3 linked regions of the Macaca mulatta genome follow. The protein of the gene in region 2 purifies or fractionates together with the protein of the main gene of each other region. This does not show direct contact. Links are inferred from orthologs where the notes say so. Each region holds a gene or a part of one and is shown on either strand. Other genes may lie near its edges. The genes, in order: PRMT5, LSM4 and PATL1.

Evidence for each region.
Region 1: the proteins of LSM4 (region 2) and PRMT5 purify together in Homo sapiens (co-immunoprecipitation; 3 studies listed by BioGRID and IntAct, with this or other methods). This does not show direct contact. The link is inferred for Macaca mulatta from reciprocal best matches to the Homo sapiens genes LSM4 and PRMT5.
Region 3: the proteins of LSM4 (region 2) and PATL1 purify together in Homo sapiens (co-immunoprecipitation; 4 studies listed by BioGRID and IntAct, with this or other methods). This does not show direct contact. The link is inferred for Macaca mulatta from reciprocal best matches to the Homo sapiens genes LSM4 and PATL1.

What each region holds. Positions count from the first base shown.
Region 1 is NC_133412.1:96,003,410-96,006,698, reverse strand, and holds the end of PRMT5 (protein arginine N-methyltransferase 5), read left to right. Parts: exon of another isoform or gene 1-16; coding exon 17-126; exon of another isoform or gene 127-206; intron 207-283; exon of another isoform or gene 284-336; coding exon 337-430; intron 431-612; coding exon 613-729; intron 730-931; coding exon 932-996; intron 997-2,061; exon of another isoform or gene 2,062-2,126; coding exon 2,127-2,279; 3' UTR 2,280-2,651; downstream 2,652-3,289. UniProt on the Homo sapiens protein: Arginine methyltransferase that can both catalyze the formation of omega-N monomethylarginine (MMA) and symmetrical dimethylarginine (sDMA), with a preference for the formation of MMA.
Region 2 is NC_133424.1:18,849,918-18,854,282, forward strand, and holds the start of LSM4 (U6 snRNA-associated Sm-like protein LSm4), read right to left. Parts: upstream 2,846-4,365; 5' UTR 2,740-2,845; coding exon 2,737-2,739; intron 1-2,736. UniProt on the Homo sapiens protein: Plays a role in pre-mRNA splicing as component of the U4/U6-U5 tri-snRNP complex that is involved in spliceosome assembly, and as component of the precatalytic spliceosome (spliceosome B complex).
Region 3 is NC_133419.1:14,182,224-14,185,871, reverse strand, and holds part of PATL1 (protein PAT1 homolog 1), read right to left. Parts: intron 3,520-3,648; coding exon 3,302-3,519; intron 1,935-3,301; coding exon 1,845-1,934; intron 888-1,844; coding exon 707-887; intron 457-706; coding exon 333-456; intron 1-332. UniProt on the Homo sapiens protein: RNA-binding protein involved in deadenylation-dependent decapping of mRNAs, leading to the degradation of mRNAs. Acts as a scaffold protein that connects deadenylation and decapping machinery.

The sequences.
Region 1 (3,289 bases), on a different chromosome or scaffold from region 2:
CTCTCCTGCTGTGCAGATGACGGTGTGAGCATCCCCGGAGAATATACTTCCTTCCTGGCTCCCATCTCCTCCTCCAAGCTGTACAATGAAGTCCGGGCCTGTAGGGAGAAGGACCGTGACCCTGAGGTAAAAAAACACTCTCTGGAAAGAAGTGGTACTCTTCAGTCCTCTTCTTTTTCTGTATTTGCATCAGCTATTTTCTTCTGCTGGGGATGAAGAGGCGAAGAAGTTAGGGATTGGGGAAGCACTAAAGTAAAACTTTTTTTAATCCTTGGGGAAGTAGGTATCTCCTGTCTGTCTTCCCCAACACTCTCTCTCTCTCCTTGTCTCTGACAGGCCCAGTTCGAGATGCCTTATGTGGTACGGCTGCACAACTTCCACCAGCTCTCTGCGCCCCAGCCCTGTTTCACCTTCAGCCATCCCAACAGAGGTAGATTCTTTTATGACTGTCCTCTGACTAGAGGGGTGTGGGCTTCTTCCTTCCTCCTGCTTTCTTCCCTTGCTGTCCCTAGTCTGCCTTATCTACTCTTCCCTTCCTGGGTCTTGCTCATGGTTTACCAGGTTGTCTAGAGCTTCTGGCCCCTTGTCATCCACATGATTATTTCCTGACAGATCCTATGATTGACAACAACCGCTATTGCACCTTGGAGTTTCCCGTGGAGGTGAACACAGTACTGCATGGCTTTGCAGGCTACTTTGAGACTGTGCTTTATCAGGACATCACTCTGAGTGAGTGTCTATGGCAGTGGATGGCAGAGTATGAGGGTGTGCTGCCTGGGCAGCTTATATGTACATGTGTCATTTAGATTTATGGGGGGCCCAGTACTCAATGAATGGAGATCTTTGTGTGATTAGAGAAGAGACCCTCTTCAACATAGGCTAAAGGCACAGCCATGGAGACTTCTGTTTTTTCATTATTTTGTCCACACAGGTATCCGTCCAGAGACTCACTCTCCTGGGATGTTCTCATGGTTTCCCATCCTCTTCCCTATTAAGGTAGGAACTGCTTTTAAGACTCTGTAGGTTAAGGAGTAACTTTTGCCTTTGGTGTTGTGCCTCTTTCCTTCTCCCAGGAAGATAGTTGACTATATGACTCATATTCTCCTGATTTCATATGCTCTTGGATCCCAGTGGTAGGTGTTGGGAGTATTTGGAGTGGCCTTCTGCCTGGCTTTCCCGCATCTATTCTGGCTACCCTTCTGTCCTCTACTTTGAGCAAGAGCCATCTTTTAAACACTCAAATTTGATCTTATCTCTCTCTTTCTCTCTTTTTTTTTTAAAGAGACAGTCTCGCTCTGTCACCCAGGCTGGAGTGCAGTGGTGCAATTTCGGCTCACTGCAAGCTCCGCCTCTCCAGTTCATGCCATTCTCCTGCCTCAGGCTCCCTAGTACTTGGGACTACAGGTGCCAGCCACCATGCCTGGCTAATGTTTGTGTTTTTAGTAGAGATGGGGTTTTACCGTGTTAGCCAGGATGGTCTGGATCTCCCGACCTCATGATCCACCCGCCTCAGCCTCCCAAAGTGCTGGGATTACAGGCGTGAGCCACCGCGCCTGGCCTGATCTTACCTCTTTTTTGCTTAAAACCTTTCAATGCCTTCCCGTTGTCTTTAGGATAAAAGTCAAAATCTGGAACATTGCTTGTAAGACTTGATGTGATCTAGTGTTTGCTTGCCTTTGCAGCTCCTGTCCCCTTGCTTACACTGCTTCAGCCTTATGGACCTTCTTTTGGTTCTAATTGTCGATCTTCTTTCCTACCTCAGGCTTTCATGCCTCTCTTTTGCCTGCAGAGCTCTTTGCTTGTCTCTTCACACCGTTAACCTATCTTCTAGGTCTCCTTTAAACATTTCTATTGTGAGATAAACTTTCTCTGACCTCCTAGACTAGGTTAGTGTTCCCTTTCATAGTTGTTTTTCTAGCACTCTGTACATGTTCACAGCACTCACCACACTTTTGATTATTTGTTCAGTGTCTTATTGTTCAGCGTTCTGATAGGCTTCAAATAACTTTCATGAGGGTTGGGACAGTCTTGTCATGTTTATCATTTTATCTCCACACCTACCTTAATACACTGCCATTTATAATTCATTAGCTCTACCCTGAACCTCCCTGTCTTTCTTCTTACAGCAGCCCATAACGGTACGTGAAGGCCAAACCATCTGTGTGCGTTTCTGGCGATGCAGCAATTCCAAGAAGGTGTGGTATGAGTGGGCTGTGACAGCACCAGTCTGTTCTGCTATTCACAACCCCACAGGCCGCTCATATACCATTGGCCTCTAGCCCTGCGTGCAAGTGTCCAGAGCCTTGGAAGCAGCTTCATGTTCTGCTCCTGTAGTACAGAAGGTGCAGTACATCTATGGGCTGTGATTCCCCTTGCCCATCAGAGAGGAGCATTTCAATCTGCTTTCCTGCCTTACATCAAGGTGGGCAAGGGATTATAATTAATTGCAGGGCTCAAGCCACCAATCTGTGAAGACCTCAGGCCAGGGGGTGAGGAATTAGTGCTGGATTCGAAGCTACGCACTCAGCCTCAAGAGCTCCCTGGAATATCCCTGAGAACATGGGGTTTGGACAGATGTTCAGCCCTTCTCTGTTCTTGTTTTGATGGTTTCGTGTAAGAGGAAATACAAATAAAGTTATAGCCCTTTCCTGCACTACCCTGCCGCCCCTGCCGCTGTTTTCCCACACCTCACTTAGACCCAGGCATGTTCAGATCTGTCCTCATACCTTATCCAAGACCTAAAGGGGCCTAGTTGTATTCCCTACTTAGGAAGCTGAGCAATGACTGTTGTACTCCTGGATATAGGCCTTTCTGACCAGTTACAGTGAGCTCTTGTCCATTAGAACCTGTAGTTAGGCTTTTCTCTGGGGAGGAGGCATAGAGTTTGCCACCTTGGGAAAAGATGGAATAGTGAGTGAAGCCAGTTTCTCTTCCTGTATTCTTGAGCTACTGCACTGGCAACTGGTTACCTCTCCTTTGTTACCTCTTGGGAAGGCTGGAATCCATCCAGGAATCTCCAGCAAGAAGCTACCTATTTTTTTGAATAAAACCACAGGTGTACAGTTTGAAGTCCCTAAGAGGTCATCTAGTCCAATTTTCCATTTTACAGAGGGGGAATTTGAAATGGGTGCAATGATGTGATATTAGTATCCAAGTCAGAATTGGAAGTCAGCCTCCGACTCTGGCTCTCCCCATGTTATAACCAGCTACATTTTTGGTAGCTACAGTAGACCACAGAAGTGTCTAGGGGCTCCTGGAGGCCCTTGGAAAGTGAGGGTGGACATCAGTT
Region 2 (4,365 bases):
CTCATCTCCAAACTCTGTTGGAGAAAGAGGTCAGAGGAAGGGGTGGATCCTCAAAATCTTAAAAGAAGATACATCAAAGTGCCAGGTGAGGCTTGGCACAGTGGCTTGCGCCTATAATCACAGCACTTTGGGAGGCTGAGGTGGGAGGATCACTTGAGCCCAGGAGTATGAGACCAGCTTGGGCAACACAGCAAGATTCTGTCTCTACAAAAAATGTAAGAATTAGACAGGTTTAGTGACGCATGTGGTCCCAGCTACTTGGGAGGCTGAGGTGGGAGGATCACTTGGGCCGGTGAGGTTGAGGCTGCAGTGATTGTGCCATTGCACTCCAGCCTGGACGACAGTGAGAGCTCAGTTCCAAAAAAGAAAAAAAAGTACAGAGTGCAGTGGCTCACACCTGTAATACCAGCACTTTGACACACCGAGGTGGGTGGATCACCTGAGGTCAGGGGTTCAAGACTAGCCTAGCCAACATGGTGAAACCCCATCTCTACTGAAAATACACAAATTATCCAGGCGTGGTGGCGCATGCCTGTGATCCCAAGCTACTTGGGAGGCTGAGGCAGGAAAATCACTCTCTCCGAGAGGTGGAGGTTTAGTGGGCTTTCTTGCAGCATCTGGAATCTGGTTCTCAGGTCTAGATCCACAAAGACCTAATCCAGTGCCTCCTAATTCAGGAAGCTGTCCAGGACTGCCCATCCCCGCTCCTAACCCAGGCCACTCCTTCTGGCCCTGCCCTGATCACAGGGAACTGGAAGTGTGTATCCCATGATGCCTTGTCCATTCTTGGCCACTCCTCCAGGAAATGGCTGGATAGCCAGGACTCTGGATGTTCAGAAGGTGGGAAGGGGCTGAATGAATGAGTTCACACTTTGCCCAGGCACCGTTCTACACACTGGGAATATAGTTGGAAGAAAAAAAAAGATTCTGCTTCCACAAAACTTAACACGGGTGGATCCTTCCAGCTCTGCCCAGTCTTGCATGCCAACTCTGCCCTCTAAGTACATGGCAGAGGGACAGGCTCTCTAAATCCTTGCTCTTGAAACCGCCTTTGCAAAAATTGTAACTGAGGAAATTATGACAGCGAAAAGAGATCAGACCTAACCGACTCCATCGTGCTTCTAACCTTTAAGCTGTTCTTGTTTATTCCTGGGCATAGGCCGAACTAACCTTGGGAAGGGATTTAGTGTATAGTTTGAAACAAAATTGGTAATAGCCCTTTCCCGAAAAGACCCTTTTCTTGCCTGGGGACCAGTCTGCCTTTGTAGGACTAACAAATTAGCTGCACGATTAGAAATTATTGTTTACGGGTCATACAGCCTCTGGCTGCAAGAGTCTGAACCTCCCCAAATTGCTCCTAGGGATAACATCACTATTATAAAATCTAAGATCAGTGTTTGAGATATTTTGCAGACCCTGTACTTGGTGGATCAGCTGACACCACCCAGACCAGTAATTTGGCTCAACCAGTCCTGCAATCCCACCCAGGAACAGAAGACAGCAAGAAAATCTCACTTCAACCCCCGCCCCCGCCCCCCCCCCCCCCCCCCCCCCGCCAATGACTCCATCTCCAACCTCAGGAAGCTCCAACCAATCAGCACTCCCCACTTCCTGAGCTCCTACCCGCCAAATTATCTTTAAAAACTCGGATCCCCTAATGCTCAGGGGAGACTGATTTCAGCAGTAATAAAACTCCAGTCTCCTGCATAGCTGGCTCTGTGTGAAATACTCTTTCTGTATTGCAATTGCCCTGTCTTGATAAATGGGCTCTGTCTAGGAAGCAGGCAAGGTGAACCCGTTGGGTGGCTACACACTGACCAGCTGGATTTAGGGAGAGCTCTCTCACTAATCCACAGTTCTGATGCAGCCACCCCTGGGGGGCCCTCCTGGTTACTGAATCTCCCACTGTCTCACAGTCTGGAAGTCACATCCCCAACAAGGGCCTTGGTTTCTCTCATTGAAAAAAGAAGGGCCAGATGCTGATGAGCCAGGAAACTCCCAGCTCTGGATTCCTTTTCTGATCTGCACACTGGGAGACACAGGCACTTTCTAGCCCAGATCCAGAACTTACAGAATCATAAACAATGTGGCCCTGCAGAGACCTGGGCTGCAATTTTTCCTTCTGTGTACGGGGAGGATGTACTTTGCCCACCCCTAGCTCAAAACGCTCCCTTCCTCTGGAATGACATGCTTTGTGAACCAAGGAGAAACACCACACCCCAGCACCAGGCCTACTTTTCAGCCAGAAAACAAGAGGCCTAGGAGGCTCTGCTGCTAGCATTTTAAGCATCTTACAAGCTCTGAAATTCCTAAAACCAAGTTTCACAACTCAGACTGGCCCCCTACTTCCCAGCACTCTAGGTTTCAATCTGGGAGGTCAGACTGGGTCCGAAGCGTAAGGGACCCCCTTCCCTGCCCAAAAACTCTCTGTTGCATTTGGCAGATCCCCACTTTTTTAACCTCAGTTTCCCAACCTGCAAAATGGGAAAACTAAGTAAGGCGAGGCCACTGTACTGTGGATACGAGTACGTGCAACCCTAAATCCCAGACACGAACGTGGTAGAACCACCTGCAGTCTCCAGCATCAGTTTCCCGGCCTTGTGCCGGGGGACGGGACTCAAGGCTCGGACCGTACGTTCGCCCCGCGCCAACCCAGCCCTCAGCGCCCGCCCGCAGGGCTCCTAACGACTGCGGTTCCCGCCTCCCGGTGAGACCCCGCCGTTGCTCTGCCCTCACCATGGTGCCGGCGGGGACCGGGCTCGCCGGCCACTTCCGCCGCCGCCGCTGCACACGCTCCCGGCGGTCTTCGCCACGCCGCGCCGCGCGCCACTGGGCTGAAAGAAAGTGGCAGAGACGCGAGCCAGTCAGCACCGGGCTAGAAGGGCGGTTAACCAATCCACGCGGAGTGGGGCGGGGCCCGCTAGGCGAAAGGGGCGGGCCGGGCCGTGTTCCCGCCAGAGGAACGAGGAAGAGAGCCGTAAAGTGCCGCGGCTTGTAATACAAAAGGGGGCGGAGCAACGCGCGCCGGGGCGGGGTGCATTGTGGGTAAACGCGTGCGCAGGTGAAACCTTCGTCGGTCTTCTGGGCTCCACGCTGTGGGCAAAGCCAGTAACTGCCTTTGCAGTTGAGGGAGAGAAATCCAGGCTTCGTGGTGATTGGGACGTCCCTGGTGTCGCCCTTCGGACTCCTAGTTTTCTGATTCTGTAATTATCCAGGGAACATCATTTAGTAGGTTGGAATCCTGACCACGACCCTCGGGGCCTCAGTTTTCTCCCTGTAAATAGTAGTGTCTGCTCCAAAACGTTACTTACTATGAGGATGAAATGAATGAAACCGTGTAAAAGCACTTAAAACAGCGTCTGGCATATATTAAGTACTTAATACCTATTCTGTGCCTGCTTCTGCTCATAGAAATGAACAGTACACAAAATTCGTGGCCCTTAGGGAGACAGACAGTAAACAAAGTAAATAGGCGAATGCTATTAGTTCCCTGGGGCCTGCTGTAACAAATGCCCACACACTGGGAGGCTTAAAACAACAGAACGTGATTTTCTCATAATTCAGGAGACCAGAATAATGAAATGAGGTTGTCAGTAGGGTTGGCTCCCTCTGGAGGCTCTGAGGACAATCTGCGTGTCCTATGCTTCTCTCCTGGGTTCTGGTGGCTGCTGGGAAACCTCGGAGTTCTTGGCTTGTAGATGCAGCCTTCCGCGTTCTGCCTCTGTCGTCACTTGGCCTTCTCTGTGTGTCTCTGAGTCTCAAACGACTCTCTCCTTTTTTTTTTCTTTTTTTGTAGAGACAGGGTCTCCCTATGTTGTCCAGGCTGGTCTCGAACTCTTGGGGTCAAGCAATCCTCCCTCCTCTGCCTCCCAAAGTGCTGGGATTACAGGCGTGAGCCACCGAGCCCAGCCTCTCCGTTTTCTTATAAGGACACGCCTTTCTCTTATTAAGCCCACCATAAATTCAGGATAATGTCATCGCAAGATCCTTAATTACATCTGCAAAGACCCTATTTTTTTTTTTTTTTTTTTTTGAAATGGAGTCTCATTCTATCACCCAGACTACAGTGCAGTGGTGGGATCTCAGCTCACTGCAATCCCTCCGTCCTGGGTTTAAGGGATTCTCCTGCCTCAGCCACCAGAGTGGCTAGGATTACAGGCACACGCCACAATGCCCAGCTAATTTTTGTATTTTTAGTAGAGACGGGGTTTCACCATGTTGGCCAGGCTGGCCTCGAACTCCTGACCTCAGGTGATCTACCCACCTCAGCCTCTCAAAGAGCTGGGATTACAGGCGTGACTCACTGTGCCCAGCCTCATTTTTCAATGACCGATGCTATTTATTGACATTATACATAATATCAAA
Region 3 (3,648 bases), on a different chromosome or scaffold from region 2:
CCTTATCAAAATCTATCCTTTCTCTCTTTGTTACAATAATTATCACAATAAAAAATCTAAAGTATTTCCCCCTTATTTTAGGGGTACTGAAAATTAGAATACATTTAAAAAATCATGAAATCTCAAGTAGAAAAGGACCTGAAAAGGCACATGTCAACGCGTTCAGTCCAGGCTCGAATAAAGGCTGAGTTTTGCATTTATTAAGGACAATGGTACTTTAAAATCACTTTGAAATGTCTTTACATATCCGTCCACATATACACTTGTCTATATTTAATCAGCGGCTTCTCAAATTTCTTTTATTATGGGCATTTTTCTTATGAGGACCTTACCTGGCTTATAGGCGTGCTCCAGTTTGGCCACCTGAGGGGTGATAAGCTTGGTGCGTTCCTTCTTAGGGCCATCACCTTGTATTTCTTCAGCAGCTGACAGTTTCTCCAGTTTTTCAAAGTAATTCTACCATGAGAGGATGATTTCGGTTGTAACATAAGCACAGAACACGACTGTTGTTTACCATCAAATAATTTATGCCAGTGACAGTAACACAAGTTCAGTTCTAGAAATGTACTGATAGTGAGTAGTGCAAGAGGCTAAGTATCTCAAAAGAAAATTTTACAAATATTTAATTGTACCAATATTTAAATGAATACCCTTACCAGTGTAGAGGACCAAACTATTATCCTCAAAACTAGCACAGAGTATTTACCTGGTAATAAAAATCATCCAGGTAGGGATCAGTGCTTTGAAGTTGCATCATCTGGATTTTGGAGACCCAATCCTTTTCCCGCTGCAACATGAGATTGGCATATGGATCCTTTCGGAGATGATCTTGATGACTGCTCCGGTGACTTCCTCTATCTCCTGCACCATTGAGATTCCGATGCTGACTGAAAAACATACACCACATTCACTCCAAGTGGGCAAATTAATTACGCTTTTTAACACAGAGGAATAAATGAGGCCAGTTTTTTTTTTTTTTTTTTAAAGATTCCCCTTGCTTTTCTTAAAAGGGAAGTGAAAAAGAACTAAGTTTTAATAGAATTTAAGAGGAAAGAGCTATGTAATAAATAATCAAGAAATAAAACTAAGATCTGAGTACCTTTCCATATGCTAAGCATATTCACCTATGGACTTTTGTATAAGCTCTAGAATAACTCTGTGAGGTAGGTAGTTTTCTCTTCCCCACTTAAGACAACAAACCGACGCCAAAGAGAGATCAAGTAACTTGTCCAAAGCCATACATCTAGTGGTGGACTAAGGGATTTTGACACAGGCGATTTAGCTCTGAAGTATACATAAATATTTTAAACTCATTAAAAATCACGAAATATTTCAAATTCAGAGAAAAAGCCCAGCAAATACTATAATAAATACCCATTTACCCATCACCTAGACCTAATAGAAAAAAATGTATTTGGTTGAATTTGCTTCAAATATTTTAAAGTAATATTAAAATAACACAGTGTTACACTGACAGAGGCCCTGTTGTACCCCTCTAGACCCAGTTTCCAGCTTCTCTTCCTTCATAGAGGAACCACTATCATGCCTTGGTATGTATCCTCCCTGAAATGTTTTTGTACGTTTATTACTTGTGTGTCTGTGTTTAAATATTACACAGTATTATTCTGTGTGCCTTTTAGTTTTACATAAATGGTACATGTAATTCCGTTCCTTGCTTCTTTACTCAATATTATGCTTTTCATATTTACATGTTGATAATACATTCAGGTTTACGGATACGAAGTAAACTTACAAAAAAAACAAACAACTAAATAGCATGTTGTTACACTGTCAAAATTAAAAGCTGAATTAAGAAGCCATAAAGGAGTTGGATGAGTACTTACTTTCTATTCTGTTGCTGTCTCTGATACAAGAGTCGACGGTGCTGTGGATGAAGGTGAGTTGTGTCCGGTCTAAACACTGGGGCCTGAGATCTAAGAAAAATGGAACAGAGGTTCTCAGTTTGGTCATCCTGATGATTTGAAATTTTAAAGAATGTTGTCAGTACAGGATAACTTCATACAGGTTAACTTAAGGGACTACAAAAGTCTATTCGGGCTGGGTGCAGTGTGTAATCCCAGCACTTTGGGAGGCCAAGGCGGGTGGAACACTTGAGGTCAGGAGCTCGAGACCAGCCTGGCCAACATGGTGAAACCCTGTCTTTATTAAAAATACAAAAATTAGCTGGGTGTGGTAGCAGGCGCCTGCAGTTCCAGCTACTTGGAAGGCTGAGGCAGTAGAATCGCTTGAGCCTAGGTGGCAGAGTCTGCAGTGAGCCGATATCGTGTGGGTCACTGCACTCCAGCCTGGGAGGCAGAGTGAGACTCTGTCTCAAAAAAATAAAAAAATAAAAAAGTCCATTCTAAGGAGACCTTTTAGAAGCAAAAGATAGTCATATTTTTACATATCTTCCACAAAGACCAAGTTCTAAAAGGGTGATCATGAAATCTGAGTGAATTAGGAGTAAAGCAGTATAATTCTTTTTCTTTTTGCTTTTAACTGTTTAACAGAAGTCTCTAAGTAGGTTTAACATACTCAGTTTCAACTATGTGGGAATATTATTAAAGATATATGTGTGATAGTTAATATGACTAGGCCTTAGTACCCAGTTATTTGGTCAAACACTGCTTAGATGTTGCTGTGAGGGTATTTTGTAAAGATGTGATTAACATTTATAACAAACTAAAGTTTCCCAGAAGAAGGAATTCTGCCTCAAGAGTGGAACACAGAAATCCTGCTTGAGTGTCTTGACTGCTGACCTGCTATACTTATTTCAAACTCAAGACTGCAACTTGAGCTTTTAAAAACTGTTTCTTGCCTGCTGGTCTGTCTTACGGATTTCGAACTTGTCAGTCTCTACAATCACATGAGCCGATTTCTTAAAATAAAACTTGCTCACATGAACATTCTTGCTCTCTTTCCTCTACTGGTTCTCGGGTGTCTCTTGAAAATCCTGACTGCCACAATACGATATGTAATAAAACACAACTTCACCGAAACAGGAACTTGAACCCCTTTTGTTATAAAACCAGAGGATAAAAGCAAACAACTTAGCTAGTGTGAAGATTAGCTGACTTTTCAGCATCTGTTGCTCTATTCCATACCTTCTGGTAATGTGAGAAAAATGTGATTCACAAGAAAGCCTGGAGATTGTCAAACATTTCCATGTTTGTCAACCTGAGGATCCAATAACATCTTAAAATTTATTAGTTAGCAAATATCAAGAGACTTATAAAACTACACATCCACAATCAAGAGACTTGGCTGATAATTGATAAATAGTGGCATTGATTTTGTATACCTTAGGTTTTGCAGGTGGGGTCCTGGGCCAGGAGGGTGCTGCTGTGGAGGTGGTGTAGCGGAGGGTGGAGCACTAAAGAAGGCACGGAAGCCTGGTGCTGGGGGAAGCATCTGCCCAACTCGCCCTTGTAGCAACTTGGGATTCATGGCAGCAAGTGGACTACCAACAAATCCAGGCACCCGTGCAAACTGGCTGGGAGACATCCGTCCAGGCTGTAGCTACAAAGAGGAAGATCTTAGATTTAGACAATTAGCAAGTCCCTTTGCTTTTGTCTACAGAAAGGTGAATACTGTTTCCATCAATAACTTTGTTTGAAAAAGTAAAGGCAAAAATAAGAGTAGTGATTA